3 linked regions of the Elephas maximus indicus genome follow. The protein of the gene in region 3 interacts with the protein of the main gene of each other region in a pairwise test. Links are inferred from orthologs where the notes say so. Each region holds a gene or a part of one and is shown on either strand. Other genes may lie near its edges. The genes, in order: GCSH, BRMS1 and NMI.

What was found.
Region 1: the proteins of NMI (region 3) and GCSH interact in binary tests that used the Homo sapiens proteins (3 or more experiments, as listed by UniProt). The two-hybrid records come from large-scale screens. The link is inferred for Elephas maximus indicus from reciprocal best matches to the Homo sapiens genes NMI and GCSH.
Region 2: the proteins of NMI (region 3) and BRMS1 interact in binary tests that used the Homo sapiens proteins (3 or more experiments, as listed by UniProt). The link is inferred for Elephas maximus indicus from reciprocal best matches to the Homo sapiens genes NMI and BRMS1.

What each region holds. Positions count from the first base shown.
Region 1 is NC_064839.1:47,024,789-47,035,579, forward strand, and holds the start of GCSH (glycine cleavage system H protein, mitochondrial), read right to left. Parts: upstream 4,572-10,791; 5' UTR 4,539-4,571; coding exon 4,391-4,538; intron 834-4,390; coding exon 754-833; intron 1-753. UniProt on the Homo sapiens protein: The glycine cleavage system catalyzes the degradation of glycine. The H protein (GCSH) shuttles the methylamine group of glycine from the P protein (GLDC) to the T protein (GCST).
Region 2 is NC_064825.1:129,487,394-129,498,749, reverse strand, and holds the start of BRMS1 (breast cancer metastasis-suppressor 1), read left to right. Parts: upstream 1-6,570; 5' UTR 6,571-6,699; intron 6,700-9,869; 5' UTR 9,870-9,876; coding exon 9,877-10,015; intron 10,016-10,123; coding exon 10,124-10,214; intron 10,215-10,403; coding exon 10,404-10,531; intron 10,532-10,675; coding exon 10,676-10,755; intron 10,756-10,836; coding exon 10,837-10,933; intron 10,934-11,356. Other genes in the region: B4GAT1 (beta-1,4-glucuronyltransferase 1), read left to right, coding at 4,075-5,130, 5,427-5,618. UniProt on the Homo sapiens protein: Transcriptional repressor. Down-regulates transcription activation by NF-kappa-B by promoting the deacetylation of RELA at 'Lys-310'. Promotes HDAC1 binding to promoter regions.
Region 3 is NC_064824.1:48,470,361-48,480,871, forward strand, and holds the start of NMI (N-myc-interactor), read right to left. Parts: upstream 4,772-10,511; coding exon 4,593-4,771; intron 1-4,592. UniProt on the Homo sapiens protein: Acts as a signaling pathway regulator involved in innate immune system response.

The sequences.
Region 1 (10,791 bases), on a different chromosome or scaffold from region 3:
CCATGCAGATGACTCTTTTACCCCCTCAGGGATAAATTCCAGAAAGGCAAGGACCACATCTTATAAAATGCGTCACAAAACACCTTATACTGGTACATAGGTACATAAATATGACAATGAAGACATCAGTGTCTCAAGTCCTAATAATCCAACATATCTGAGGAATATTATACACATAGTACTGTCAGTAATATCCCGTTCCCTTTCCCTGCCCCACCAAACATACATCCAGTGGAAAATCCAATTTTTAAACTTTGCTGCTATTTGTTTCTAATTTTCTTTTAAATATCTCAATATGGCGTCAGTGGGAATAGGGAAATTAATAAAGAAAAGATAGAATATATAATTGGCTTTGTGTAACCTGTGCCAATCTAGGTTTTTCCTCTTCTTCATGTCCCCCTGGTCATGTGTGTATCACCACACCCACAAAAGACTGTCAACACCCTAGTCCTTTGCTTGTTGTTTTTCTTCGCCCTTCCGTAACTGCCCCCATATGAAACAAACATTTATGAATAAAGTACGTCCCCTACCTTAATTTTAAGTGTCAACCTTTAAACATCCTTTAAAACACCACACATTTACCTAACTAATTTGATTTTACTTGTTTCACCTGTGATTGCTTTTTATCCTAAGGGCCCTTCATGGGAAAAGGGCCAGAAGTGGTAAAGGCAGAATAAACAAAATGTTAAAAGTTAGAGACAATCCAATTTAACAAGAGCAGACTGTCACAAATATCTCAAGACAATTCAATACCTGTGCAAAATTGCTGATTCCCACTGTTCCAATACCATTTTCTGTTGTTACCCATTCATGTTTGTCTGTGAATTTACGCACTAAAAGAGAAGACCAATATTTCAGAAAAGCAGTGGCATCGCTTCTTAAAACACTTTTCCCATCAGTGTTGTCAAAAGGCAAGACTTTCCCAATATTTGTGTTTGACTTATTGATGTTGACTTTAAAGAGCACACTGCCCAGGAAGCAACCGAGATCACGTGAAAAGAGCAAATCTCAACACTGATATGTTAAGCAAAAACAGCGTGATTTGTACACCATCTGGAGATTTGATTATTTGCTCTAACATTTCTTAGTCTAAATCACCCCCCACCCACACACACACAAAAATGGAGCACATTTCAGATATGTACTTATTATTGGTCTCTCTTACAGAAACATGGTTTCTCAAACAACTCTCCCGTCTGACAACAGACTTGGAGTGATGCAGTTTTGCGTATAAAAGGCAAATGTGCTTCTTTAGGTAGAACAGACCTAAGAGAGGTTCACTGCAACTGGGTTATAAAGTGCAATTTCACAGGAATGAAACTGACAAAATTCTTAAATATTATTTTAATCTAATCTGCCCTTGAAGAGAATGGCTACCATCATTTAAAGAAGCAAGCTGTAAAATCAGAACACTCACCGCCCATCTAGAGTTGTACTTAACACACTGCATTGAAATAGTCCATCTATCAGTTTCTTTCACGAAGTAGACTATAAGTACAGTGTGAGCAAGACCAGATTCTAACTCATTTCCATTTGTATTCCTAGTTCTAAATACAGTGCTTGGCACATGGTAGGCATTCAAAAGCTGAAGGAATGAAATAATTTTTTTTTTTTTTAATTTGTCAGGTAAAGGGGATTCTGAGCAAAATACCTATTATGGTTGTTCAGCTGTAACACACAGTTCTCCCTATCATTCTGTTACAACTCTAAACAGTTGCCACCAAGTCAGTTCCAACTCTAAACAGTTGCCACCAAGTCAGTTCCAACTCACAGTAACCTCATGTGTGTCAGAAAACCGCGCACCATGTTTTCAATGGCTGATTTTTTTCAAAGTAGATCACCTGGCCTTTCTCCCAAGGAGTATCTGGGTGGGCTTAAACCTCCAACCATTCAGTCAGCAGCCAAGTACATTAATCATTCGCACCACCCAGGAACTCCGCTACAACTCTAGAACTGGTTAACTGTATTACCAGTTATGAGCAACTGAACACTAATGTCGTTTTAAAGCAAGGGCCGGACAATTGTAAACAGCTAACCCATCGAAGTCTACTCTCTTGACTTTGGCTTTGCCATCTTGCCTAACTGCAAACATAACATTAAGGAGTAGGGTTGTTCTGACACTCAATTTAGTAACTGAGTGACAAGGTTAGAGGAAAAGGCAGGAACATTACTAAGCTAAAATGCGCCCAGTCCCACTGGACTTCAAAGTCCTTAGTCTTTTTACTACATCATGCTATTCAGGCTAAGAAAATGATTAGTTCAATTCTCCTTTAAGCCTTGGTCCACCAGGGAAAAAAAGTAGATAGGAGATGAGGTTAATTATTACTTCCTTACCACACTTTGAAATATACGGTTCTTGGCTTCAGAAAATTAGTTTTGAATGATTTATGAAATTTTTACATTTTCTTCCAAAGTCACTGGTCAGATAAAATGTTTTATATTAACATTGATAAGAATTTTTTACTATTATATGCCTTATACTACCGTTTAATAACAAGAAATATTTATCAAGTGCCCGTGTCTCAAGCTATACGTACAGCAGTTACATCATTTCATTTCATCCTCCCATCAACTCTGTGAGGTAGGTATTATCACCTCCATTTTTCTAGTGAAGAGAAACTGAGGCTCTAGAAGTTAAGTGATGTGTCCAAAATCCCATATCTCCTAAGAGGTAGAACTAGAACTAGTGCTGGGTCTAGCTATTAAAAACCAAGGTGCTTTTTTGGGGGGGGGGGTGTTGGGAGACTCTGGTAGTACAGTGGTTAAGAGCTATGGCTGCTAACCAAAAGGTTGGCAGTTCAAATTCACGATGTGCTCCTTGGAAACTCCATGGGGCAGTTCTACTCTGTCCTATAGGTCATTATAAGTTGGAATCGACTCGACAGCAACAGGTTTGAGTTTTTGTTGTTTCGTTCTTTTTAGTTTTTGTTGTTTCGTTCTTTTTTAAAGGAATGGATAACGCTGGGTTTGATCTAGATGTGGAGGGGGTTTGCCACAATGAACATTATTGGAGTAATTAGCAGTACCTGAGTATGGGCTATATTAGATAAGAAACCAATGCTACATTTTTAACCTTGACAACATAACTGCAGTTATGTAAGAGAATATCCTTGTTCTTAAGATTCACTGAATATTTAAGGATAAAAGATCATGATGTGTGTGGTTTGTATGGGTATATCTATCAAGAGAGAAAAACAGATGACGCAAAATGTTAATGATTGTTGAATGAATTTTCAATTATGACAGTTCTTTGTATTCTTGTAACTTTTTAAGTCTGAAATCATTCTGAAACTAAACAAACAAAAAAAAAAACCTTAGGTGCTTAACCAAATAAAGGGTATTGATGTTTGGGGCAATATTTAACTAGATAAGTAGAAAATGCAAACAGCTAGAGATAATGTAACGTTAACAAAAAAAGCAGGCTTAAATTCAGTTTTTATCTTAGAAATGTTTTACCCTTGTATTCAAATTGGTAATGCATTGATACACATCACATAGTTGAGGGAATGGGGAGCTAATCTTCATGCTTCCGTGTTTGGAATAAATGTCAACTCTTTTAGTCCCAAATGAATTTCTAAAACAATCAGTTAATGAGAAAACAGCCATCACAGATATAGGCCTCCTAAGAAGCCTTATAAGGCGTGATGAGTGTCACGAATATTTGGGCATAAAGTAAAATTGTTTTTTCCCTGTGATAACTGTGCACAAGTAGCACTGGTGCAAAAACACCGACAGGCGAGTCTCCCCCGTTAGTTCAAGTCCGTTTAAGCTAGGCCTCATTTCAGCCCCAACAGACAGCACCGACTCAGTAAGACTTCAGCAGAACGTCTTCGGTAGAGTCCAGCCGACTTTAGCCTATTCTTTAGGAAACAGTGGCGTCTAGAACGTTATGCTCGCTTTAGCTAGCAAAACTCTGGATCCAGTGCTTTGATTTTGCTGTTTTTGCTTTAACTTTGCTCAGAGTTGTCATGTCTGGTTCCTTTAGTGAACTAAGTCTCCAGTGTTTCCACGTCCAGGTTCTCAGGATGCACACAAACAATGCGAGAGGAACTACCGTCACCTCGGAGCGTAGCGGTGCGGGGTCCTGGTCGCTGGCGGCGAGCGGCCGGCTCACCTGCCCGAGTCGGACTAGGCGCCTCTGCCCGCCGGGCTCCAGTGTGGTCCGCCTCCACCCAACCCAAAGCACAAAGGTGGACTGTGCCTTCCCACGTCGAGTTGAGGAGAGGCGCCGGCCGCCTAACTCTGGGGATCCCCGCACTAGGCAACAGCGTGGAAACAACGTGAGCCGGGCGCGACCAGCTCCCCATCGCTCCTCCCGGCCCCTCCAAGCCTGCCCGGCAGCCCACGTGCGGCCGTAGGTCCCGCGGAGCCCGCCCCCGCCCGCGCTTACCCGAGAGCAGAGCGCGGCCCGTGCGCAGCGTCCGCACGTCGCCGGGCCTGGGCCCCCAGGGCCGGGGCGGGCAGAGAGCGCAGGGCGCCGAGAGCGCGCGCAGGCTGCAGGCTGCGGCCCGCACGCCCCGGGCCGCTTGCAGCGCCATGTTCGCAGAGTGCGCAGGGTCGCGGCGCAGGACTCAGGCTCCCGGCGGCGGGGCGGGGCGGGGCGGGGCGACGCGGCCCCTGGCTGGAACGAGCCGGCTGGATCGCCGCGCGGGGCGGGACCCGGCGGGCTGAGGCCGATAGGTCCGTACGCGAGGGGCGCGGACTCCGGGGCCGGGAGCGGTCCCGGATAGGGCGATGTGCGGGGGGCCGTGCACATGGGGCGGGGCCTGAGGCCCGGGTGAGGCGACGGGCGGGGGGCGGGGCAAGCGCGAGACGGGGGGCCGGGCGAGGCCGCTCGGGGCGGGGCTTAGCGTCCAGGGGCGGGGCCCTGGCCTAGGGCCACCCTGGGCAAGTAGGAAGTGCTTAGTCAGCAGCTCGGGGCTCCGTGTGCTTTAAGGGCTCCGCACCTGCGGTGAGAAAGGCTCAAGGCGGAGTGGCTGGGCCACTCCTGCGCGATGCCGAGCCGTTGAGCCCTGGGTCCTGGGGAAGTCAGGGCCCCTCCAGTCCTGTTAAAGGATGCAGTCCCCACCTTCAACAGAGGATCAGGGTCACCCAGAGCAGGATTCATAGGTCCAACCAGAATCATTGCAGCTCAGAGATGGGTTTTGGGAGTTGGCCAAAGCCGCGCTCACACTTCTAGTCTAAAAGAAGTCTAAGTTTGTTTTAGACCTTTGAAAAACTGAAAATAGTCCTGGAACCCCCTTTATTACTTAACAGACTGCAATGTGCTCACACACCCTAAACAGGGGACAGACAGAATCGTGAAGATCACAGAGGGAAAGGACTTGTCTTAGGGTCAAAAGTGACTTCTTGGTGAAGACTGAACCACAGCCAGTCAGCTACTGCAGGAGTGTCCAGAAGCAGAGGGTTAAGACCCATCGTGGACAGTGCTTTGCTTAAGTGACTAGCACAGCAATCAAGGCCTTCCAAGAAAAGCAGAAGTCATTGCCCCCACTCAAGGAGACAAGCTGCCAGCACAGATTCTAGGAACTGGGCATGAGTCAGCAAAGAAACACCTCAGTGAAAAACAGACCTCAAGTGCTGCACTGTCAACATCACAGGTGGGCACCTTGAAGTGTGTGTGTGCGTGTTTGAGGGGGCCATGTGCTCTTGTACTGAGCTTCTGCCCAATATATAAACAAGGGATGGTGACCACATCTGTGGAGTGGCTTGCAAACACTATCATCTTCGTTTCCTGTGAGTAAATAACAGCCATGTATTGAGTTCTTACTGGGTGGCGCAAACAGTTAAGCACTCGATTACTAGCAGAAAGATTGGTGGTTCTAACCCATCTAGAAGCAACTTGGAAGACAGGTCTGGCAGTGGGCTTCAAAAGGTCACAGCCTTGAGAACTCTGTGGAGCAGTTCTACTCTGCACAGATGGGGTCACTGTGAGTTGGAATCAACTCCAAGGCACCAACAACAACTATGTGCTAGTCACTGTGCAAACATTATTTTTTAATCCTGTCCAAACCCCTTTGTGGTAGGTATTACTCTGATTTCATAGGTGAGGCAGAAAGGTTGAGTAACTTGCCCAGGAATGTGATGGAGAAAGTATTTTATAGCTTAAGCAGCCAGTAGGTGGCAGAGGTGGGATTTGACCAGTAGCTTGACAGATTCACAAGCGAATGCCCTTAAGGTATGTAATACTTCCCTCCTTTTGGGATGCTGACTGGTTCACACTGGTCTAAACTCCTGATCTTGGCTAGCTTCTATAATAATCAATATTCTGATTTTATTGTTGCTTTGATATCATGCAAGTCAATGTAGCATAATGTAACCTATGCCCTAAAATAAATATTTATTCCCAACTCCACCAGCTCATTTGGTGGAAAGAACAAGACCACATATAAATCTGTAGGCTACATTACAGACCCTTCCGCAAAAAAAAAAAAAAAAAGAACTGTGTCATGTTTTTTATTTAATGAGCATTGAGGATAGTCAGAAATTCTTTTTTTTTCCCTCTTCAACCTGGTAATCCTTGTAACATCATCCATAGCTTGAGTTTGAAAGATCTTCTCATTGCACATTTGATATAGGCACCTACAGGTTGCATTTGGTCACTTCTTCCAGGTGTCTCAGAAGGAGCCAGCTCATCTCTTTGAGCTGTTTTTTTTTTTCTCTCTTATAACAATAACACTGAAAGGAGTTGCTAGTTTGATATTTACAGTCAACGGGGAAGTAGAGAGTAGAAGAGAAAGAGGGAAGGAAGAGGTGAAGAACTTATAACTTCTTGAGATATGAGTTAGCACTTTCCCTATTTAAAACAAATACACTGTATGTATCAGAGTGAGCTTGTGTACCAGTCTGTCAGGAGATATGTGTACCCCTCAAAATGGGTTATTTGGTGAGCATCTCTGTATACATAGCTCATGTTCTTACCTGATACAGTAAAGAATGGATGATGGGCATTTGGATGCAGAGAAGTTGATTAAATCTCCCAAGGCTTTGTGTATATGTTACATGGGTCTATGTTTATAAAGAATCCTGGGCCTGTAGGTTTGTGGGTTTTGGTTATCAGGTTGTAGGGTGTGGTAGTGTGGGATCATGATCAACTGTCATTAAAAGACATTTGTGATCTTATCCAGCTAGAAGACTGGCAGTTGTTCAGTTATAGGACTGATTATGTCAACTGTTTAAAGACCTTACCAAGCACCCAAAAATCAGCCAGTGAAAATCCTATGGATCACAACAGTCTGATCCACAACTGATCATGGGTATTGTGCAGGACGGGGCAGTGTTTCTTTCCATTGTGCATGGGGTTGCCATGAGTTGGAGGCCAACTCGATGGAGCTAGCAACAATGACAACAATCAAGTACCAGTTTCCTCTCATTTCTCATCTCTGCCATCTTCAGATTGCTTCCCCATGGTCTCAAGGTAGCTGCCAAAGGTTCAGGCATTGTACCCAGACAAGACAATGTAAGAGCCCGTCACTACGTGTCTCTTTTTATTGGGAAGGAGACATTTTCCAGAAGCCCCCTAGAGAGCTCTCTCATTTTTCATGGGCCAGAACTGGGTCACATGCCTACCCTAAGCCACGTGTCGGCAAGAGTCATGGGTTACCATTTAGTGCAGTGGCTCTCACGTTTGAATCAGCTGGGGAGCTTAAAAAACTATCAATTTATTGGTCCCAGCCCGGAGATACTGATGTATCGGGATGAAACCTGGGGATTCTAGTGTGCAGCCAGAGTTGAAAACCACTTGTGTAGATCACCAGTTTTCAGAGTTCATCTAAAGAACACCAGCCCTGAGTGAGATGCTTTAAGACCTGATTCCCTGGCCAGAGAAGTCTGGGGATGAGACACACTTTTCCTCTCATGCTAATCTCCAAAAAAAACTAAGCCAAACCCATTGCCATCAAAGTTGAGTCCAACTCACTGTGACCCTCTAGAACAGAGTGGAAGTGCCCCACAGGGTTTCCAAGGTTATAAATCTTTTTGTGTGTATGTATGTGTGTGTGTGCTTTAGATAAAGGTTTACAGAGCAAACTAGTTTCTCATTAATTAATACACATATTGTTTTGTGGTGTTGGGTGCCATCCCCGTGACATGTCAACACTCTCCCCTTCTCAACCCTGGGGACCTCAAGGCTGTAAATCTTTACAGAAGCAGACCGACACATTTTTCTCCTGCGGAACGTCAAGTGGGTTTGAACTGCCAATCTTTTTGGTTAGCAGCCAAGCACTTAACCACGACACCATCAGGACTCCCCATACTCATCCCAGGAGGGAGTGTTTAAAGTTCTGACAGTTCTCATGCTAAAGAATTCCTGTAGCCTCATTTAACTTGATGTTTCTCATGTTATCTTGATTCAGATACCTTTTGGTATGTGACACTTATTAGCACCTCTCAGACACAGTTTGAGAAACCCTGAATCAGAGTCTTTCAAAGGTAACTCCTGACCAACCAAGAAGGGGAAATAATTAGTTTGTAGAGAAGATTTTTTTTACCACTAATTCTAGACAGTATTTGTTTTATTTCTAGGAGGAAATACATTTGACTCTTACAGAAATACAGACTCTCACAGTCATTGCAATTTTATATATGTGTGCATGTTTTGTGTTGATATATTTATTTATTACATGATGGGCTTGGTAACTCTTCTGTGGACACAGAAAAACATCGACCTGGAGAGATTATGGAGTTGGTGGTAAACGTAGGCCCCGGGCTCTGCGCATTCCGATGTAGATGACCGATGTGCTTAAACCTTAGGCGCAGCGTGTGCTGGTTGAGGGGGCCCAGCTTCTGTCAGCTCCCCAGACTTCTCAGTGCTGCTTTGAGGCGCCTCTCTTTTACATCTAATGCCCAGGAAACTGAGTATTTTCATCAGCAGCAAATCAGCAATCTCTCCTTCCTCTGACAGCTGCAGGAGAGAAAGAACCATGCACCGTTTATAGAACCATCCTGTTTGGAGGCTTTTCATTCTGAGGGGAAACCATGGTTTAATGTCTGGTGTGGTCACAGCGTAAGTCACTTTATGTTTTAGAGTTGCTTTTATGTTGGGATTGACCTTCCTCTGGGAATCCCAAGAGTTGCAATTGAGTTGACTGTGACTCACGGAGATCCCATGTGTGTCAGAGTAGAACTGTACTCCATAGGGTTTTCAATTTTTCTGTAAGCAGGTTGCCAGGCCTTTCTTCCGAGGCACCTCTGAGTGGACTCAAACCCCCAACCTTTCATTTAGCAGCCCAGTGCACTGGCCATTTGTACCACCCAAGGATTTCTAAAGGGTATACATCCTCCTTTATCCCCAATGGATTTCCTCTTTCTCTCCACTGAAGATGCCATGGTTTCCTGGCAGCATTTTAAATTTCCAAGTTAGAACTGAGAAAGCCTCAGCTGTTACTGAACATGAACTTAAGCAGCACTTGCAGCATACAAACCTTTTTTTTTTTAAATTGTGGTAAAATATAGGTAACAAAATATTTGCTATTTCAACCATTTTTTACATGTGCAATGATTTTTTTTTAAATACCTGTGTCTGAATCACACTCCCAAAGATTCTGTTTTTGTTGGTCTCTGGTGTGGCAGGAGCAGCAGTAGTTGCCAAAAGCTCCCAAGTGATTCTAACATGCAATCGCTGAGAATCACTGTGTAGTGAACAGAGTTCTGCATTGGATAGGAGGCCCAGGTTCTAGTCTCAGCTCTGCTTTCACTTGCTTGTTGTCTTAAATTATTTCCTCCTCTGGGCCTCAGGCTTCCCTCCTATGAAATGAGGGCTTTGAGCTACACTGTCTATTTAAACCCACTTGTGTTGAAGTGAGGCAGTGGAGGTTCAGTGGTAGAATTCTCGCCTTCCATGGGGGAGACGTAGGCTCTTTTCCCGGCCAGTGCACCTCATGGGCAGTCACCACTTGTCTGTCAGTGTAGGCTTGCATCTTGCTGTGATGCTGAACAGGTATCAGCAGAGCTTCCAGACTAAGACGAACTAGGAAGAAAGGCTTGGCGATCTACTTCCAAAACCCCTCTGGACCGAAATAGTCCAATCCACAACCAATTATGGGGATGGCACAGGACTGAGCACCATTTCATTCCACTGGACGTGGAGTCACCATTGAGTCAAAGACCAACTGGATGGCAGCTAACGACAAGTGTTTAAATATCCAGAAAGCTCTGTTCAGGTGAGAGTGAAGGAATGCTCAGAGGAAGAGCTATCTCCCCTCCCACCCTCCACCCCTGCAAACCTCTGCCCCATTCCTGGGCACCACTAGAATGACTTCAGCCAGTTCAAGGTCTTTGACTATTGAAGAACAGGCCAAAGGGACTCACCTGATGATATTTTTGCTCCTCACTGAAGGCCACCAGGATAACAGAGATAAATAGATTCAATACCACGAATGTCATGAACACAATGCAGGACCCAACCAGGAAGGAGCCAAGCACTGGGCTATCGTCCAGAACCTGCCAGGAGGAAAGCCAGTCATCCCTTGGTGCCCCAGGGTCCTATCTGCCACCACCCCCACTAGGCAGCCTCAGAGGGGAAAACTGGTTCCTGGAGCTGGGCCGAGCCTGCAACCAGGAAGGTTCCCTTCTGCCCTTAGGGCTGAGAGTCCAGGTGGTTCTCTCAAGAGGGGAGCGAAAGGGCAGCACCCCCTTCTCCCCACTCTGCCAACTACAAAGTCAGGACACTGTGTCTGGCTAGGGCCAAGAACAGTTCCCTTCTGGGGACCCCCAGCATGGCCCTCCCCTGAGTAGCAAGTGGCTAGCTGTTCTTTGGTATTCAGAGGTCTGCTCCCCCCACCCCCGCCAGGG
Region 2 (11,356 bases), on a different chromosome or scaffold from region 3:
GATGCACACCTTTTCTGACTTTAAACCATGAAGTATCCCCTTGTTCTGTTCCAACAACTGCCTCTTGGTCTATGTACAGGTTCCTCATGAGCACATTTAAGTGTTCTGGAATTCCCCTTCTTTGCAATATTCTCCATAATTTATTGTGACCCACACAGTCGAATGCCTTTGCAGAGCCAATAGACACAGGTAAACATCCTTCTGGCACTCTTGCTTTCAGCCAGGATCCATCTGACATCAGAACGATATCCCTCGTTCCACATCCTTTACTGAATGCGGCTTGAACTCCTGGCAGTTCCTTGTCAATGTCCCGCTGCAGTCATTTTTGAATCATCTTCAGCAAAATTTTACTTGGGTGTGAAATTGATATTCTTCAATAATTTCTGCATTCGACTAGAACACCTTTCTTTGGGATGGGCACAAATATAGATCTCTTCCAGTCATTTGGCCAGGTAGCTGTCTTCCACATTTCTTGGCACAGATGAGTGAGCACCTCCAGTGTTGTATCTATTTGTTGAAACATCTCAGTTGGTATTCCGTCAATTCCTGGACCCTTGTTCTCTGTCCATGCCTTCGGTGCAGCCTGTTCTGGTGTACATAGGGTCGCAGTGAGTCAGAACCAACTTAATGGCACCTAACACCAACAAAAACAATTTCATGCTATGTGAATTTTACCTCAAATTTTTAAAAAAGATATTATAAAACAAAAAGAGAGAAAGAAGGAGAGAGACTACTTATCCTGCTTAAGTCCATGCAAAGTCAGATTCCAACTTCAGAGCCCATACTCTGCCTGCCCTGCTGCCAAGAAAAGTCTCTCCAGAGACCCCAGGGTGTCTTAAGGGAAGTCAAGCATTAACTTGTTTGGTTCAGACGAGAATTCAGTCCTTCCCCCACTTGAAGACAGAGGACTCCCTCCAGACTGAGGTGGTTCTGAAGGTTTTAGAGGGTTAGGAGCTCCAGAGCCAGGCTATGAGGGCCATGTTGCATGTAGAGAGATTGAGGAGGAAGACAGCATTATGGGAGGAGGGAGAAGAGCATGGGGCAGTGTTAAGGGTTGAATTGTGTCCTCCAAAAACGTGTGTTGGAATCCATGTGGAAAGGAGCCCTGGTGATGCAACGGTTAAGCACTCTGCTGCTAACCCAAAGGTTGGTGGTTCAAACTCACCCAGTGGCTGCCCAGGAAAAAGGCCTGGTGATCTGCTCCATAAAGGCTTACAACCAAGAAAACCCTCTGGGACACTTCTACTCTGTCACACAAGGTCACTATGAGTCGAAAATCTACTGGATGACATCCAACAACAACATCCCAGGGGATGTAATCTCATTTGACAGTAGGGTTTCTTTGTTATGTTAATGGGGTCATACCATTTTTAGGGTGTTTCTTAAGCCAATCATTTTTGGCATATGAAAGAAACAGATTAGGCACAGAAGACAGCAAGTAGAGGTGGGAAGATAGATGTCACATCACAAGAACAACAAGCAACTGTGGAGCAGAGGCTGAAAAGAGACAAGGACCTTCCACCGGAGGTGACAGAGAGAGAAGGCCTTCCCCAACAGCCGGCACCCTGAATTTGGACTTCTAGCCTCCTAAACTGTGAGAAATAAATTTTTGTTTCTTAAAGCCACCCATTTGTGGTATTTCTGTTATAGCAGCACCAGATAACTAAGACAGGTAGGTCCACTGTGAGGTCACGAGTTGAGACTGACTCGAAGACACCTAAGAACAACAAAGCCCTTGACCTGGGCAGGCATATAATAGGATCTCAGGAAATCACGAAGGCGCCCTGGTGGTGCAGTGGTTAAGCCCTCAGCTGCTAATCAAAAGATTGGCAGTCTGAACCCACCAGCTGCTCCGAGGGAGGAAGATGTGGCAGTCTGCTTCCGTGAAGATTACAGCCTTGGAAATCCTATGGGACAGCTCTACCCTGTCCTATAGGTTCACTATGAGTTGGAATCGACTCAACAGCAATGTGTTTGGTTTTTGTTTTTTTTGGGCGGGGGGCGGCTCAGGAAACCTCAGCTCATTATCCTTCACCTTGGTGAAAGTCAAGTGTCTGGGAAACTGTCTTCTACCCCTGGTGGTCCTACAGCTAAGTGCTCCTTTGCTAATCGAGAGGGGGGATGCCTGGGAAAATCTTATCCATCAAGGCAGTAAATGGGTATTGAGTGCTACCATGAAACACAAATGCTCAAGGGTCCAGGCAGACAGGGAAGTGCCAGGCTTGAGAATTTGGTAAGGAAAAGACTGTTTACAAAGGTGGAGCTCTGGACAATTGTCACCTTGCAGAACTGCAGGCCTGGCATTGCCAGATCTTCCAGGATTTTAAATCCAGAAGTTGGAAATGTGCATTTTCCGTGAAATCTTCTGACTCCCGAAAGTTAACAACTAATGTGATTCAAACTGTTATTTTTAAACACTGATCAGGCCAAAGAAAACCCATATGGGCACCACATCCAGCCCCTGAATCTCCAGTGTGCAAGGCCTGTGCTGGCAAGATCTGTGCTCACCTTTCTCCTCTCTCTTGCCACAGGTACCAGTGAAAACTCTCAAGGACAGGAGCTGTCCCATCTCAGGTGCCTAACACAGCCCCTGGCAGGGAGCAGATGTCAAGTAGGTATTATCTCACTGGGCTGCAGAATATAGGTCTCCTGGCCACTCCTCATCTCGACAATCTTCACTGACTCCCTGCTGCCTGTGGAATAGCTGGCAAACACCTCGTACTGATATTTCAGGCCCTCCCCCGTCTGTTCCAATGCACCTTCTGAAGATTCACAGCCCTTTGTCCTATATGGGAGCCCTGGCTCGGGCCGCAAAGGCCATGTGTCTAGTACATAATTATTTACATAATCGATTTGGCCTTTCAGGTCAGACCCTTCCCCACAGCCTCTTCTCTTCTAAAGATTCCATGTATCAATGAATCCACAAACGTTTATTATAGGATTTCTGGGAGAAGGGAGAGGAGACGGAGGAGTAGGCGGAATCAGTAGGCGACATAGAGTAATAATTTAAATGATCAAATATCCTTCCTAGCAAACTTCCACTCCTTCAGACAGGAGGGAACTTCTCCAATTCCTGCAGATAACACACTGAGCCTCAAGTTAGCATCGGCCAGAATCCTGGTTCTGTTCTTCTAAGTGCCACCAACTTCCGGAACCTCTTTCTAGAGAGAAAAAAAATCACACCTTTGACCGCTCCCCAGTAGGTTCAGAGACCTGGAGTGGGCAGACGCGGGAGCAGAAGTGGGAGACGCACGGCCGGCCAACAAAGAGGAGAGGGAGCCCCAGGGTAGCGCCAAGCGCAGCTCAACTCTTTTCAACTTCCTGCTTTAGACTGGTAAGATGTAGAAAATTAAGAATCACGTCTTTCGTAAAACGCGACCGACGAGGATGGGATTCGAACCCACGCGTGCAAAGCACAATGGATTAGCAGTCCATCGCCTTAACCACTCGGCCACCTCGTCCCCTACAGTGTGGCTCTCTCCACATTCTCTTATCACCCTTCTTCTCCGCGTTCTCCGAGTCCCTTCTACCCATTCTCCAGCGTAGACCCCTTAGGCTATCTACGATAAGGAGACACGGCAGAAATAAACGTTTTTTTTTGTTTTTTTTTTTCCTTTCCGCCCGCCGCAGCCGGGAATCCGGGCCATCCCTCACCAAGCTGCTGCAGAACTCTGCCACGGTTTCCCCTCCCTGACTCGGGGGCGAGCCCATCGAGGTTTCAGGACGCGCTGGGTTCAGGGGTCGCGCACGGTGGGGAGTGAGGGGGCGCGTGTCCCGGAGGACCCCTGGCGGGCCGGGAGGCGGTGGGGCGGCCGGAGCGGCAGGGGCGGCAGCAGTGGCACCGCGATCAGGAAGACTCAGTTTGCAAAGCGCGCGGACGCGGTGGCTCCTCCTCCGTCTCCGGGGCGGGCGCGCGGCCGAGGCCCGGCTGTGGGCGGTGGGCGGGGCTGCCAGGCTCGGCTGGACTCGGTTCGCCTCGGCTGCGCTCGGCACGCTGCAGTAAATCCCGGCTCCCCGCGGCCGGCAGACGCTGCGGTCGGTGGTCCCTGCTACGCACTCTGAGCCCCGAGAGCCATGCAGATGCCCTACGCCATCCGGTGCGCCTTCTACCAGCTGCTTCTGGCCGCCCTCATGCTCGTGGCGATGCTGCAGCTGCTCTACCTGTCGCTGCTGTCTGGGCTGCACGGACAGGAGGAACAAGACCAGTATTTCGAGTTCTTCCCCCCGTCCCCGAGGTCCGTGGACCAGGTCAAGGCGCAGCTCCGCACCGCGCTGGCTTCGGGAGGCGTCCTGGACGCCAGCGGTGACTACCGCATCTACAGGAGCCTGCTGAAGACCACCATGGATCCCAACGATGTGATCCTGGCCACGCACGCCAGCGTGGACAACCTGCTGCACCTGTCCGGCCTCCTGGAGCGCTGGGAGGGCCCTATGTCTGTGTCGGTGTTCGCGGCCACCAAGGAGGAGGCGCAGCTGGCCACGGTGCTGGCTTATGCGCTGAGCAGCCACTGCCCCGACATGCGCTCCAGGGTCGCCATGCACCTGGTGTGTCCCTCGCGCTACGAGGCCGCCGTGCCCGATCCCCGGGAGCCCGGGGAGTTTGCCCTTCTGCGCTCCTGCCAGGAGGTCTTTGACAAGCTAGCCAGGGTGGCCCAACCCGGGATCAATTACGCGCTGGGCACCAACGTCTCCTACCCCAATAACCTGCTGAGAAATCTGGCTCGCGAGGGGGCCAACTACGCTCTGGTGATCGACGTGGACATGGTGCCCAGCGAGGGGCTGTGGAGAGGCCTACGGGAGCTGCTGGATCAGAGCAGACAGTGGGCGGGCACGGCGCTGGTGGTGCCTGCCTTCGAGATCCGTCGAGCCCGCCGCATGCCGGTCAGTAAGACGGAGCTGGTGCAGCTCTACCAGGTGGGCGAGGTGCGCCCCTTCTATTATGGGCTGTGCACGCCCTGCCAGGCGCCCACCAACTACTCCCGCTGGGTCAACTTGCCAGAAGAGAGCCTGCTGAGGCCTTCCTACGTGGTGCCCTGGCAGGACCCCTGGGAGCCATTCTATGTGGCTGGAGGCAAGGTGCCCCCCTTTGACGAGCGCTTTCGGCAGTACGGCTTCAATCGCATCAGTCAGGTGCCCATAAGGGGAAGGCAGGGGAGGGGGGGTTGGGGAGGGGGAGACGGAGGAGGTGGAGGGGAGGAGGGGGGAAAAGGGATGGGCGAGGGGAGTAGGTCAGGGAGATACGAGGAGTGGCCCAGTGTGGAACTGAGGCAGGGAGGCCGGGTAAGATCCCAGGTCAGGAAATGGTTGGGTGGTGTGGAAAATCCAGATGCTTCCAGAAGGTTGGGGTGCTAGAGTCTGGCTTTAGGGGTGTCGATCTGGGCCCCAGGAACGTCTCTCACTTTGCTGACCTGTCTCTCACTCCACAGGCCTGTGAGCTGCACATGGCAGGGTTCAATTTCGAGGTTTTGAACGAAGGTTTCTTAGTTCATAAGGGCTTCAAGGAAGCTTTGAAGTTCCATCCCCAAAAGGAGGCTGAAAATCAGCGCAATAAGGTCCTGTACCGCCAGTTCAGACAGGAGTTGAAGACCAAGTACCCCAACTCCCCACGCCGCTGCTGAGCCCTTCCTTCCCCCGGTCTGAGAAGTTTCAGCCTCCTGACTCCTCGGGCCGCCCCTTAGGCCTGACTGGGGTAAGAAACGTCACTCCACTTTGCAGAGGGAGCTGTGGTGTTGCAACACTGGACTTGAATATGGGGTGCTAGGATCAAGTCCTAGCTTTACCACTAACTAGCTGTGTGGCCTTGAGCAAATCCCTTTACCTCTCTGAGCCTCAGTTACTCTGTCTGTAAAAAGGGAGGTGAGAATGCCTACCTCACAGAACTGTTGGGAGGCTCAGATGAGCTGTCTATGAAAACATTCTGTAAGCTTCGTACAAATGTGAAGTATTATTAATATTATTACAGTATTATTATTGTTGTTATCACTATTGTTATTAACAACCGGGGGTGTGTGAGTGGTAGGAAAGCAAAAAATGTGAATGGGACAGGGTTGAAAGTTCAGAGACATGGGGGTACTTAACGACTGGGGCTTTCTGGAAAGAAATCAGATGAAGGTGTGGAATTTGGTTCTTAGCTTTTGGGCAGAAGCCTTAACAACTCCAGCGCCTCCACCCTTGGGGGCTCTGAAGGAGGGAAGGGTCTGAAGGCTTGATGGCGATAATCCGAAAAAATCTGTACCCTCGAATAGGCTGGTGCTGGGTATTTGCCTACTGATGACAACGTGTAAATAAATGAGTGTTCACACCCACAGCTGGTTCCGTTTCTCTCCGAAGCTGGAGGGAGGGGGGCCCTGGTTTCAGCCCTTGGACGCCGGGGGCGGTTGCTGCGCACCGAAGGGCGTGGGCAGCGAAGCGAGGAAACCACGGGGGCCTTTGCCGCAGGCCGAAGCCTAATGGGAACCTCCACCGGTTGCCATGGAGACCGGCCCGCGGTATCCCAGCATGCCTCTCCCCAGCCATCCAATTGTGAGCTCTCCGGCGGGCGCCCCGAGATGACGCACACGGAAGCGCGGCGAGGCCCCGCCTCCCTGAAAAGAGGGACCTGCGCAGCGCTTCCGGGAGCCTGGCGCCGCGGCAGGTACCGGCACCCTTGGGCGCCTCTCAGGGAGACCCGGACTTGAGGCCAGGGAGCCCCCCCCCGCGGTGCGTATCGCCCCCCCCAGCCGCTGGTTGGGTCTCTCTGGGCTAGTCGGGCGCGTCCTGCCCAACCTTCTTCTCGGGGCAGAAGCGGAGACTTAACGGGCTGGACGCGTGCGGGGCCGCGGGGCCGCGGGGCCGAAGCCGGCTGCGGGGGAGCCCGCGATTCTCCCGCCCGCGCCGGTGCAACCGGAGATGAGACGAGGCCGAGCCTCCTGGGCGCGGCGAAAGGGGCCAAAGTGGGGAGGGGCCCGCCTTCCAGGGAGGCTGCCTTCCTGGAGTTCAGAGTCGGAGAAGATAGATGGCATGCCCACCGCACTTCTCAGTTTGCTTTTCCATCCCTTAACCCTTGCCAGCTTTACAACAGTCAGAGCAGGAACGGTTATCCCCGTTTTGCACACACGTAAGAAGAGGAAGTTGTGACTTAATTTACTGCTCAGTAAAATTAGAGTTAGCTGGAGGAGACACACATACACACACCCCCTCTTTTTCTGATCCGGAAAGCCTTCTGGAAGCTGTAGGACTTAGGCTGAGACTTACGGTGAAGAGGAATTGCAGATGGAGGGAACTGCAGGAACTGAAAGAGCCCTGGTGGCGCAGTGAGACTTGGAAGTGGGAAAGATGAGAGGCTGGTTTGGAGACCCGAGAAGTGGAGGAATGAACCTTCATGTCTGCTAAGGTTTTCAGGTTCGAATCCATGGTGAAATCATTGAGGAATGTGACTAAACTCTCCCCTAGGCCAGGCATTTGCCACAACTTGAATAGGTGTCAACCAGAGTTAACAGACACTTTGGGTTTGATTTCACTGCAAGGACCTGAAGCTACCAAGAAGTAAAAACCAACCTTTGACCTGCAAGAGTTTGTTTTGTTTACTTATATTTCCCAGTCCTTTATCAAGGGAGCCAGTACTGGGCTAGTTGACTAAGATGTGTTTGTAGCCCCTGCCCTGGGGAGGCACACAGAGTGGCTGGGGAGACAGAAGGAAAATGAGCAAACAGAAGGGAGATGCAAAGAAGGCTTCGTGGAGGGAGTGGAGTCTACACCAATCTAAAGGGCTGCAGAGCAGTGGCCAGCGAAGCTAGAAGAGGAGCTTAGTAAAGTAGAAGCCCCCAGGAGGCAGTGAGATTCTCTGCTGGAAGGGTGGTTAAATCCCCCCCTTAGGGGCTCTCTTGGCAGGATTAGACACTGTTGTTGGCCACTTCTTCTAAAATGTTCTCTGGCCATAGCTTTGGGGTTTTTCTTTTCTGCCTCTCCCTAATTTCCTTCTCCTTTGCGGGAGTCTCCTCAGCAGCCCTTTGGTGACCCTGGGAGTTTCATCATGGACCCCTTCTCCACACTTTCTGCTTTGGTGCCATACCTTCTCCCATGGCCTGAACAACTCACTCTATGATAGTGACCAGATCTCTGTACGGCCCAGATTTCTCTCTGAGGCTTAGACCCAGGTCCCCAACCCTCCCCCACTCCCTTCTCTCATTTCTGTATCCTTACACATGCTACTCGCTCTACCTGGAATGTTCCCTCCTGTGCTAGTCAGTTCATCCATCTGCTGTGTCTCCCCTGGCAGCCCTCACTGCTGCCCCAAGCTCCTGGTCTTAGAGGCCCCTCCCCTGTGCCCCCAGGCTTAACTCTTCTCGCACCGTGGTAGTGGTCTGCTGCTTTGCCTCTTCTCCCAGGAACGTGTAAGTTCCTGGAGATAAATACTGCCTGCCTGCCCCAGGAATTCCCCTGTACCTGCCATAGTGCCTGGCAGCACCTAGCATATATTAAGTGTTCAATAAATATTCAGTGAGGGAATACAAGGACTGCTTGGCTGTGTCTGATGTTGCTGAGAAATCAATTAAGATAGCCCCCAAAAATACTGGCAGTAGCCACAAGGAGGTTGTCGGTTAACTCAGTGGGATCCGTTTCAGCAGAGAGTGATGGGTGCAGGACCAGATGGGAGCAAATGGAAGGTGAGGAAGCAGGAAGGGCAAGTGTATACAAGGCCTTGAAAGTGGAGCTGTGGCGTGGAAAGCAGTGAAGCGGAATAGGGTGAGGTTTGGTTTGTGTTTTCGCATTTTCTTAATGGTGGAAAACACCTGAGCACATCTACGGTTTCATGGGAAGGAGCCTGCCAAGGAGAGTTGAAGCTACAGAAGAGAGGGGAGTACTGATGATGTGGGGTCCCAGAGGAAGCAGAAAATGAGAAGTGAGAGAAGGGATGGGGGGAGGGAAGGGGACCTGGGTCTAAGCCCCGGTGAAATCGCCCGCACAGAGATCTGGTCACCATCACAGGGCGAGTTGTTCAGGCCATGGAAGAGGGTGCAAACACCAAGGCAGACAGTGTGGAGTGAGAAGGGGTACATGCTGGAACTCCCAGCGTCACCAAAGGGGCTGCTGAGATACAGCCTTTGAGGAGATCTCTGCAAAGGAGAAGGAAATAACTGAGCAGAGCACGAAGACAGAGAAATGTAGAAAGCTATCAGGAAGAGAAGAGGAGTGCACGATGGGCAGAGGAGGAGGGAGAACGTGGTGTCTTTGAGGACTCACCAGTGCATGGTTGGGGCCAAGGAGCTGGGTGGGTGGTTTAGTCCAGTCTGGGAAGGGCCTTGAAAGCCTCCACTAGAAGTTTAAGCCGAGTCCCATAGGCAGGGGGAGCCCTCGGGGGCTTCTGAAAGGGAAAGAGCGCTCACGCAGAGCCCTGCTGGTTCCTGGCCTCTTGAAGAACTTACCTCGTCCTCATACCACTTCCACAGGGAGGTCACAGGCAGAGCAACTGTGGATCCTCAGGGCCACACTTACTGTTGTACCTGCAGTGTTTTCCACCTCCCTATGCCTGCTCTCATAGTGCCATCACAGCCCACCCAGCCTTTTCTGGGGGTGGGACGTTTGGGTGGTAACGCCTCGTGTCGTTGGCCTTTCCCGTTCTGTGAACTGGTGCTTGGCCAGTTCGCCCAGGATTGGGATCGCCAACGGGGTCAGAGGGCATGAGCGTTTCCATGGCTCCCACGCTCCTGGGGGAGATGTGCACCCGGAGCCATTTGCTCCCTTTCACCCAGCATGCGTCAGGGTGGCGAGGACAGTCACCTCCCTGCTGTCCCCTCTAATTGAGGGTCAGGCTGGGCTCGACTCCCTGCTCGGCCACTCAGCTCTGTACCATGGCCAGTGTTGAGTGATGGCTCCACCTGTTCTCCCAGAGCACAAATGCCCGTCCAGCCCCCAAGCAAGGACACAGAAGAGATGGAAGCAGAGGGCGACTCAGCGGCCGAGATGAACGGGGAGGAGGAAGAGAGTGAGGAGGAACGGAGTGGCAGTCAGACAGAGTCTGAGGAGGAGAGCTCCGGTGAGTGTACACACACATGTGCACACACACTTGTACACACCAATGCGCACGCACACGTGGTACCCGCCCGCTCCTCGTCAGAGGCCCTGACTGGCCTCTTGTCCCCAGAGATGGATGATGAGGACTATGAGCGACGTCGCAGCGAGTGCGTCAGTGAGATGCTAGACCTGGAGAAGCAGTTCTCGGAGCTGAAGGAGAAGTGAGCGGGCACACCTAGGGCTGGTCTTCACGGTCCTGGGGGAGGAGGCAGTAGGCTGGGTGTTGGCGGGCGGCTGAGGTCCAGAGTGAGTGAGCACCTGACCAGGGCCTGCCACGGAGCTGGGGCCCTGCGTGTATCTGCCCAAGAGCACAACGGACCGACAAGTTGGGGCTGCCTTTCACCTCCCAGGTTGTTTAGGGAGCGACTGAGCCAGCTGCGGTGGCGGCTGGAGGAAGTGGGAGCTGAGAGAGCCCCCGAGTACACGGAGCCTCTGGGGGGGCTGCAACGGAGCCTCAAGATTCGCATTCAGGTGGCAGGTGTGTGGGCTGTCCCGTGTCCTGGGGTCAGGCCCCAGTCACCCCTTGTGTCCCCCTCCTCATCCCTGCCTGCCCTGTACTCCCAGCCCTCCTCGGATACCTCAACCGCTGCCTTAGGGGGGCCCCCTTCTCCCTCTTCCACAGGCATCTACAAGGGCTTCTGTCTGGACGTGATCAGGAATAAGTATGAGTGTGAGCTGCAGGGAGCCAAGCAGCACCTGGAGGTGAGGGGCTGGGCGCCTGCAGAGGGGTGTGGGCAGGGCCTGAGGGGCCCCACCCGACTGAGCTGCTCCGGCCTCCTTCAGAGCGAGAAGCTGCTGCTGTACGACACCCTGCAGGGGGAGCTGCAGGAGCGGATCCAGAGGCTGGAAGAGGACCGCCAGAGCCTGGACATCAGCTCGGGTGAGGCGCTCTGCCAGTGCCCAGCACTCCTCTGCACGTAGCTGCCCTGACTGCACATGGGTGCAGTCATTGGCCCTGCTCCTTGAGGTCGCCAAGAGGACTGACTGAGAGCAGGCATGGAAGGGCCCAGCCCAGGGCCAGGCATGCAGTGAGGGGTTGGGCAGAGTGGGCCCCATGCCCTCCTGTCCCTGCTCTCTCCCCAGAACGGGAGGTGCGGGCCGGTACGCCCACATATGGTCACCACAGTCCGCTCCGTGTCCACAGCACCTATGTTCCTTCTTCATGTCAGTTGCTCTGCCAAGAGGCTACTGTGGAGTCCTCAGGAGGCAGCAGCTGTTATCATCACCCTGTCATCCCCCCCATCACCCTCCCCCATCTGCTGAACAAAGGAAGCACCTGGGGCTCACAGCAGTGCAGTGCCCT
Region 3 (10,511 bases):
AGTTATAAAATTTTGCAACAGGAAAAAAACGGAATGTACTTTCAATGTAAAAACTGGGTGTAGTGTATTTTATCTAATAAATTCCTACTGAAAACTACTCAATGAAAACCAAAAAAACTCACTACTGTCAAGTTTATTCTGACTCATAGTGACCCTAAAGGACAGAGTAGAATTCCCCCAAAAGGTTTCCAAGAAGCAGCTGGTAGATTCGAACCACCAACCTTTCGGTTAGCAGCTGAGCTCTTAACCACTGTGCCAGCAGAGCTCCCCTGGAATGCATTAGAAAGTTCAAAAGTAAATTAGCATAGAGTTTTAGCCTTGTAGGTATTATATTGATACATGTAAGCTGGGCTTATGAAAAATGTCTTTGTTGTTATATCTAGCTACAAGGATATTTTTATAGGCAGTCATTTTGATGTCACCCCTCTGACAATGTCACTTCGTATGGTCTGCACCCCTACCCCCTCCCCTGCGTTCCCCTAATGATGACACTGAGTATTACTGATTATTATATATTGGTAGCCTATATACTCCCCTTCTCAAGGAAATGCTCAATATACCCAAGGACAGCCTTGGTCCAAAGATAACACTCTTCAGCTTTACATATAGTTCGATAGCCATAGGCAAGATTTTGAATTTCCTTCCATACCCTTTTCTCCCTTGATTAATAAACCAAACCTATTATCCTCGAGTTGATTCCTACTCATAGTGACCCTATAGGACAGAGTAGAACTGCCTCGTAGAGTTTCCAAGGCTATAAATCTTTATGGAAGCAGACTGCCACACCTCTCTCCCACAGAGTGCCTGGAGGCTTTGAGCCACCAACCTTTTGATTATCAGCTGAGCTCTTAACCACTGCACCACCAGGGCTCCATTAATACTTAGCACTAAATTCCAGATAACAAAGGTAAATGAAGGACTTGGATTCATCACCTTATCCATTAAAGCCCTTATTCCCTCATTCAGTTCATCCCATCCCACAGCAAACCTCCAAAACAATCTCAAATTAGCACGCCTTCCCTTTCTCCATTGCCACCACCCCCATCCCTGCCACTATCAATTCTCCCTGGACAATGGCAACGGCCTCCTTACAGATGGTTCTGCTACTCCTCTTTCCCCACTACAATTATTCTCTGTACAGAGTTCAAAAAGATCTTTTAAAAACATAACTTAGATCATGTTATCCCGAGTAGTGTGAACAATAAAGGCTCTCAGCTGAAGCTGCAAACTGAAAGATTGGTGGTTTGAGTCTACTCAGAGGCACCTTGAAAGAAAATCCTGGTGATCTACTTCTGAAAAACCATCCCCAGAAAACCCTGTGGAGCACAGTTCTACTTTGAACACATGGGTCGCCCTGAGTCAGAATCAAGTCAAAGACAACTGGTAGTATGCAGACGTGGAGAAGAAATTGACAGAGCAGAGTTTTGGACAAAGTAACAAGGGATGAGATCTCTCCGGGACAGAGGAAAAAGGATTAGCTTGGGACAGAGGAGGGGCACCTTTTCTCTAAAATGAGGAATATCGAAATAAATTAAACTCCTTTTTAAAAGTAAAAGGCAAGCTGAGATCCATTTAAAGCAAAAGGCTCTAAACTCCTATAGTGTCACTAGCCAGGTAGATAGAAAAACATCTGGATTGGCAGCCTTGCATTAGGCCATAGGTTCTGGGGCAAGCTAGACTATACATTGCCTAAAGACATTCACATTCCAAAAATTTTAAATCATTGTGGTGGCCAGACAAGACATATGTGAAAGCCAGATTCAGCTGCTGCCTTGGGCCACGTTTACAAGCCTGACTTAATGAAATATGCTGTTTATGTTAAACGTGGTGATGTTTGGCAAATCAGGTTTCTCCACTCGAAAAATGTTAATTTTATAATTACTGAGATTCAATGATGCAGCTTGTAACAAAATTTTGTTCACTGGGAGCACTGAGTCATATATTAAACTCACTGATGCATTCAGATACGTAATAATTGCTACAGAAATCATTAGCAAGGACGTTCGTTCATAATTTTTTAGAAGAAAGTCCTCACGCAGGGACCAGGGTAGAAAAAGAAAAATAGAAAAAGCTTAGATCCTAGCTCTGTCCGCTGAGACGGCCTAGATGCAGTAACACCCCACAGTAATGAGGAAAAAAAAAAAGTTTAGAATACTTGTAGGACAGAAATTAATAAAAGAAACTTAACAGAGCTGTGTAAAAGTTGAAGCCCTGGTGGTGCAATGGTTAAGAGCTATGGCTGCTAAACAAAAAAAAGTTCAGCAGTTGGAATCCACCGGCTGCTCCTTGGAAACCCTATGGGGCGTTTCTACTCTGTCCTATAGGGTTGCTATGAATTGGAATCAACTCAACAGCAACGGATTTTTACGAGTATAAAAGTTTTATTGAAGAACAATGGGGGCCAACTTAACATAAAAAAAAAAAAAAATGGAGATCAGAAATTTCTAGTGGCACCAAACGTCATGATTGTTCTCCCGTTTTAGCAGTGCCCAGTGTCACAGAAAACAGTGATCTGCATTTATGTTGGATTAGGGAGTTTCAGGTGTAGGAATGAAGAAGAATAAGAACCCAAGAGTCCACAACTAATCTTCGATGGTCAATAATGAAGATAGATAAATGTAACTAGAGAAAAAAAATCACACACATAACTGTGGTAGCCAGCCTCTAATATGGTGCTCAGTGACCCCTCCCCCTTGGTATTCCCTCCTGTATTGAGCCCCCCTCACATTGTACCAGGATTGATCTGTGTGGCCAATAGCATACAGCAGAAGTAATGGTTGTTTCTTCTGAGATTGTTATAAAAGATAGTGGCATACAACTTGGGCGCTCCCTCCCTTGCTTGCTCTCTGTCTTGGATCTTTCACTCTAGAGGAAGCCACCTGCCATGTTGTAATGATACTCAGGCAGCCTATGAAAAAGCTCACCTGGCAAGAAATGGAGGCCTCTACTCAACAACCAGTGAAAAACTGAGGCCTGCCAAAACCACATGAGTGAGCTTGGAAGCAGATTCCCCAGCCCTAGTCAGGCTTTGAGATGACTACAGTCCTGGCCATCAGCTTGACTGTGACCTCTTGAGAGAACCTGAGACAGAACCACCTAACAAATATGCATTTCCAAATTCTTGACCCACAGAAGCTGCTAAATTTATGGTAATTTTTTTTTTTTTTTTAATAGCAATAGATGGCTAATATAAACATGGAAACTGCGGACTGGGGGAAAGGAAGTCCCTTGCCTAAAAATATTACAAGCCTGAGTTTCGAAGCTTTGATTGAATTTTCATAGAACTCGGAATGGTGTAGGAGTCCCTGGGTGGCACAGATACTTAAGTGCTTGATTACTAACTGAAAGGCTGGCAGTTTGAACTCACCCAGAGTTGCCTTGCTATCTACTTCCAAAAAATCACAGCTTTGAAAACCCTATGGAGTACAGCTCTACTCTGACACTTGTGGGATCACCATGAGTCAGAATCAACTCAACCGCAACTGGTTTAGGAATGATATGTGTGACTCAAAATGGCAAAAGAAAAAAAAAGGGGGCAACGCTGTTTCTTACTCCAAAAATTGTAGACTGAGATGGGGGGAGGGGACAGAGGGGAGAGACACACAAAATGGACTAACATTGACCTGGGACATAATGTGCATTACGAAAGAAGTGACTCTACTTATTATAGGCTCCACTTAGGAAAATGCTTTTTTCCTTCCTTATGACCTCATGTGAAGCTACAATGAGACAACACCCTTAAGGGTCTTAGAAGCCCATTTGTCTAGCTGAGGTTCTACTAGACATTATCTTAAACTTTTCATAGATCTTAACAAGGAGTCTTAAGAGTCCCTCGGTGGTACAAGGGGTTAAACTGCTCAGCTGGTACAAAAGGTTGAAGGTTCAAGTCCATCCAGAAGTGCCTCAGAAGAGAGGCCTGGTGATCTGATTCCAAAAAAAAAACAGCATTGAAAACCATATGGAGCACAGTTCTACTCTGACACACAAAGGGTCGCCGTGAGTGGGAATGACTGGACTGCAGCTTTTTTTTTCTAAACAAGGGATCTTGTAGGCACCCCTGATTTGGTCTTTACACTTTCTTACCTTGAAATTTTTTTGCCTTATAGAAAATCTAGGAGTGAGAAAGTGTGGTATTTTTCAACCCAGCAAGCCCTGGGTAGTCCATACTTCCTCTTTATTCTGCTTGCAAGGAGAATAGCTCCTTCTTTAGGTCATCTCTCTTTTACAATACCTTTTCATATTCAGCTAAAAGAAGCCATTTGGCACCTTCAATATTCTCATTAGCCAGTTCCAGTTTTATTCCAAGTTATAGCAGGTGACATTTTCACTCATGTTTTCACTACTATATGGTGGCACCTTTTGCCCTTTTCCCAGCCTTCATAGCAATTTTCCTCACTATTCTTCCAGCCTCCATTAGTAGTCTTCTTGCTTCCTTTCTAGCCTGAGTCTGCTGCCTGATCCAAACCCAATGCTTTAAATTTGTGTGGCAACAGCACCCACATTTCTGTTTCAGTTATCTATTGCTGCGTAACAAACCAGCCTATTATTGTTTAGGAACTTCAAATAATAATTTTTTTTTCTCCTGATTCTACAGGTTGGCATTCTGAATGGTTCTGTGGGCCCCATCTGGGCTCTGGGCTGCTGATCTTGTAGCTGCATTCAAGTCGAAGCCAGGCTGGACTCGAAGATCCAAGATGGTCTTGCTCGCATATCTGAGACCATAGTGCCGGCTGTTGCCTGGGGAACATTGGTCTTCCATGTGGTCTGTCATTCTTCAGTAGGCTAGCCTGTGTGTCAGGGTGTCATCACAGCATCATGGTCAAGGCTGACCCAGATTCCAGACAGTGGAGACTCATTTCTTGAAGTGAGCGGCAAGGACATAGTACATAGGGATAGGACACAGAGAAGCATGATTTATTCAAGGAGCCCTAGTGGCACAGTGGTTAAGTGCTCAGCTGATAACTGAAAAGGTCAACAGCTTGAAGCCACTAGCCACTCCACAAGAGAAGGTGTGGCAGGCTACTTCCGTAAAGATTTACAGCCTTGGAAGCCCCATGGGGCGGTTCTACTGTGTCCTGTGGTGTTACTGTGAGTCGGAATTAACTTAACAGAAATGGGTAACCTTGTCATGTATTGAATTGTGTCCCCCAAAAATATCTGTCAACTTGACTAGGTCATGATTCCGTTGTATGATTGTCTACCATTTTATCTTCTGATGTAATTTCCTTATGTGTTGTAAATCCTGTCACTATGATGTAATAAGATGGATCAGTGGCAGTTATGCTGATGAAGTCTACAAGATTAGGTGGTGTCTTTAAGTCAATCTCTTTTGAGATATAAAAGAGAGAAGTGAGCAGAAAGATGTGGGAACCTCACGCCACCAAGAGGGCAGTGCCAGGAGCAGAGCGCATCCTTTGGACCTGAGGTTTTTGCGCTGGGATGCTCCCGGACCAGGGGAGGACTGATGACAAGGACCTGCCTCCAGAGCTGACAGAGAGAGAGGGCCTTCCCCTGGAGCTGACGCCCTGGATTTGGACTTCTAGTCTACTGGACTGTGAGAGAGTAGGCTTCCCTTTGTTGAAGCCATCCACTTGTGATATTTCTGTTATAGCAGCACTAGATGACTAAGACACCCCTTCAGCCCTATGCTAAATAGGCTGCTGCTGCACCTGCCATTATTGAGAAGTTGGCCACACAGCTCCCAGCCTGAAAACAACACTGGCTCTGCTGAGATTCAAGTCAGATAAATGAACACATATATGCCCATAACAACAGGGAAGCTGGAAGCTCTGTCTGATTCTTCACTGAGATGCAAGGATTTATACCATGGACGACTATCAAGATACAGAGAAAGTGTTCAAAAGATTCAGAGTACACAAATGACAAATGTATGTCACCTACCAAACCCTTTAGTAAAGTTTAAAAACATATTTTAACCTTAAGTGGTGGTGTTGCAGAGAATGAAGGAATAGGGCACTAAATAAAAGTGAAGTTTATCAATCTACTGGTGCCCAAGCAGAGGAAATTACATGCTATTTAAAGCCTGTGCCCAAGAAGACTACCAGCAAAATGAGTGGTAGGTCAATGATTGTACAACTCGAAGAATGTAATCAGTGTCACTAAATTGTACATGTAGAAACTGTTGAATTGGTTTATGTTTTACTGTGTATATTCTCAACAACAACAACAAAATAACATTTAGAAGGAAAAAAATTGAATGGTGGGTCTATGTACAACTGAAGCAGCTAAGAGAATGCAAGCTCCAGACTAAAGAAAGATAATCTGTACCCAAAAACAGGCAAAAGTAATCTGCAATGAAAGAAATCCACAGTGCTTGCCTTTGGAGGTATGAAGGATATTGACTTAATGGAGCATGAGGGAACTTTCTCAAGTGCTGGAAGTCTCCTATGTCTTGTTTTAGGTTGGTAGCCATATGGGTGGATACAATTATCAAATTTCATTGAACTGAGCACTTAAGATTTGTATATTTTGTTGTTTGTAAATTAGACATCTATTAAATAATAAAGAACAAAGAAAAAAATAAACCTCTAAAGAGTATTCTGTTCTTATTTCTTAAAAGCAATAGTTGTAGTATCAGCATTCTGAACTCTTTCAGTCAATGTTAAATAAAACATTATCATCCTAACATCATCTTCTCCCAACCCAAGAACCTACACGTGGTGCAGGAATAAATGAAAAAGATGATGAATCACCAGAGAAAAGCTATTTTTTTAAAAAAATGTAATCAGTTTGCATAAAATCATCTCTGACTCAAATGCAGGGATAGAAGGAAGGAGTTCCATTTTCTCACTAACAACAAAATAAACCTAAGATTTGTCAACTGCCGGATAGAACATAACACTATTTTTCTCAAACCTTTTTATATTAAAACAAAATTCAAAGTTACATAGCACGCAGAAGGTCTTTAAAAGGTTCTAAAAATAAAATGAGAATAAAAAAAATTTTTTTTTTAATATCTTCAAGGAATGATGTTTTATATTAGTGAAAGTTAAAAATGACTCACGCGAAAAAACTTAACAATTTCTTTTCTTTCTTCCTTTCATTTTCACCCTTCCTCTTTATCACTGTCCTCATAATTCTTGACTTCCTCAACATAAGATATTGTTGTCTATTATTTAAGGTATAGCTTTGGTGGCAGTAAAACAAAACAAAGTAATCAAACAACAACAACAAAAAGTACTAAGAGTGAATTGAACAAAATAGCAGTTAAAGTTAACTTCTCTCCCACATTACATTCTAAGCATAAAAAAAGCATAAGGGTGTGGCAACTCCACAGTGTCAAGGATCCTGACTTCCTATCACATTGCTCTGCAATCTCTGTGGTGCCTCTTTCACCCACATTTTCATCTCTACGTTCCAGAATTTGCATTCACCTATTCCTTCTTTTATTCCTTACGTTCTATCAGCCAGAAATTAGTCACAGCCATCCCTAGATGTAGGAGTGAAATCTATCACTTGGCAAGCCTCATGCCCACCCAAACATTTCATCATTAAGAAGAGTGGGAGATTTCCCTGGAGCAAAGGAGAACAAAGAACACTGAAGACTCAAGGAAGCAATTAGTCCAAAGGTCTAATGGCCCACAGGAACCACAGCCTCCTCTGACCTGAGACCAGGAGAACTAGATGATGACTGGCTACCACCAACAACCACTCTGACCTGGATCACATAGAATGTCCCAGTTAGAATGCGTAAAAAATGTAGAACAAAATTTAAAAAAAAAAAGAAAAAAAGACCAGACTTATTGGTCTAGAACAGACTGGAGGAACCCAAGAGACTTTTGCCTTAAAACACCTTCCAGCTTGGAACTGAAGATACTCCCAGAAGCCACCTTTCAGCCAAATAATGTTGTTGTTAGGTACTGTCATTAGGTGTTATTAGGTGCTATGAGTCAGTTCCTACTCATAGCGACCCTATGTAGAACAGAGCAAATCATTGCCTGGTCCTGCGCCATCTCACAATCATTGCTATGTTCCAGCCCATGGTTGCAGTCATTGTGTCAATCCATCTCGTTGGGGGTCTTTCTCTTTTTTGCTGACCCCCCTACTTTACCAAGCATGATGTCCTTCTCCAGGGACTGATCCCTCCTGTTAACAAAAGTACATGAGACAGATTCTCACCATCCTCCCTTCTAAGGAGCATTCTGGCTGTACTTCTTTCAAGACAAATTTGTTCATTCTTCTGGCAGTCCATGGTATATTCAATATTCTTCACCACTACCATAATTCAAAGGCATCAGTTTTTCTTTGGTCTTCCTTACTCAATGTCCATTTTTTGCATGATATATGAGGTGATTAAAAAATACTATGGCTTGGGTCAGGTTCACCTTAGTCTTCAAGGTGACGTCTTTGCTTTTTAACATTTTAAAGATATTTTTTGCAGCAGATTTGCCCAATGCAATGCATCGTTTGATTTCCTGACTGCTGCTTCCATGGGCGTTGATTATGGAGTCAAGTAAAGTGAAATCTTTGACAACTTCAATATTTTTTCTGTTCATCATGATGTTGTTTATTGGTCCAGTTGTGAGGATTTTTTGTTTTCTTTATGTTGAGGTGTAATCCGTACTGAAGGTTGTAGTCTTCAATCTTCATCAGTAAGTGCTCATGTCCTCTTCACTTTCAGCAACCAAGGTTTTGTCATCTACATATTGCAGGTTGCTAATGGGTCTTCCTCCAACCTTGATACCACATTCTTCTTCATATAGACACCAGTAAAGAATGTGCCTCTTAGAACAATCAACTATATGAGACCAAAAGGGCAACATTTGACCAAAGTCAAAGATGAGAAGGCTGGGAGGGAGAGGGAAATGGGGATCCCAGGGAGGAAATGGGAATTGTACTGACACATTGCAGGGACTGTAATTAATGTAAGGGAAAAATTTGTATAAGAATCTTTGATTGGAAAACTAGTTTTCTATGTAAACGTTCACCTAAAGCATAATGTTGTGTTCTAAATAAGTAAAAATAACAGGAGAACAGATGTGTTATCTTGTGTTGTTGTCGATTCTGACTCATGGCAACCTCACGTATTACAGAGTAGAACTGCTCCACAGACTTTTCTTGGCAGTAATCTTTACAGAAGCTAATTATTCTGCAGAAACCTTTTATTCTGCAGTGCTGTTGGATGGGTTTGAACTTCCAACTTTTCAGTTACCAGCCAAATGCAAACCATTTGTGCCACCCAGGGATCCAGGAGAACAGATGTTTTTGTCTTGTTCCTATGAGTCAATTCTGACTCCTAGCTACTCCACAGAACACAGTAAAACTGTTCCATGGGATTTCCTAGCCTATAATTTTTACAGGAGCAGATCGCCAGGTCTTTTTTCCTGTGGAGCCACTGGGTGGTTCAAACTGCTGACCTTTCAGTTAACAGCCAAGTGCTTAACCTTTGCTCTATCTGGGATCCTTGGGAGAACAGATACTGGAGAACAATTAGCAGACAGTGCCTCAGTTGCCTCTGATTCCCTAAAAACATAGGTGTACTTCAGATGGTACTTCATAAGGTGGATCATTCGAAAGAAAACACCATTTATATTCTGTTCACTAGAATTTTGTTGAGGATTTTTGCATCTATATTCATAAGAGATATTGGCCTGTAGTTTTCTTGTGGTGTCTTTGTCTGGTTTGGGCATCAGGGCTACGTTTGCTTCATAGAATGAATTAGGGAATATTAATTCCTTCTCTATCTTTTGGAAGAGTTTAAACAGCATTGGTGTCACTTCTTGTCTATATGTTTGGTGGAATTCACCAGTGAAGCTATCTGGTCCAGGGCTTTTTTTTTGTTGAAAGGCTTTTGATCACTGACTCCATCCTTTCACATGTTATGGATCTGTTGAGACTTTCTATTTCTTCTTGAGTCAGTTTGGGTAGGTTGCTTCCTTCTAACAATTTGTCCATTTCATTTAGATTATCCACTTTGTTGCCATACAGTTGTTCATAATATTCTGCCATAATTCTCTTTGTTTCTATTAAAAAAAAACCCACTGCCATCGAGTCGATTCCGACTCACAGCGACCCTAGAGGACAGAGTAGAACTGACCCATAGAGTTTCCAGGGAGCGTCTGGTGGATTCAAACTGCCGACATTTTGGTTAGCAGCCGTAGCACTTAACCACTATGCCACCAGAGTTTCCTTATTTCTATTGGCCGGTTACAATTTCACCTCTTTAGTTTTTTTATTTTGGTTATTTGCACCATTTCTCTTCTTTTGTAGATAAAAGTTTGTCAGTTTTATTGATCTTTTAAAAGAACCTACTTCTAGTTTTATTGATTCTATTGTTTTCAATTTTATTTATTTCTGCTCTGATTTTTGTTATTTCCTTTCTTCTGATAGATTTAGGCTTAGTTTGCTCTTCTCTTTCTAGTTACTGGAGTTGTCAAGTAAGGCTGTTAATCTGATATCTTTCTTATTTTTTTATGTAGGCATTTATTGCTATAAGTTTCCCTCTGAGTACTGCCTTCACTGCATCCCGTAAGTTTTGATATGTTGTGCTT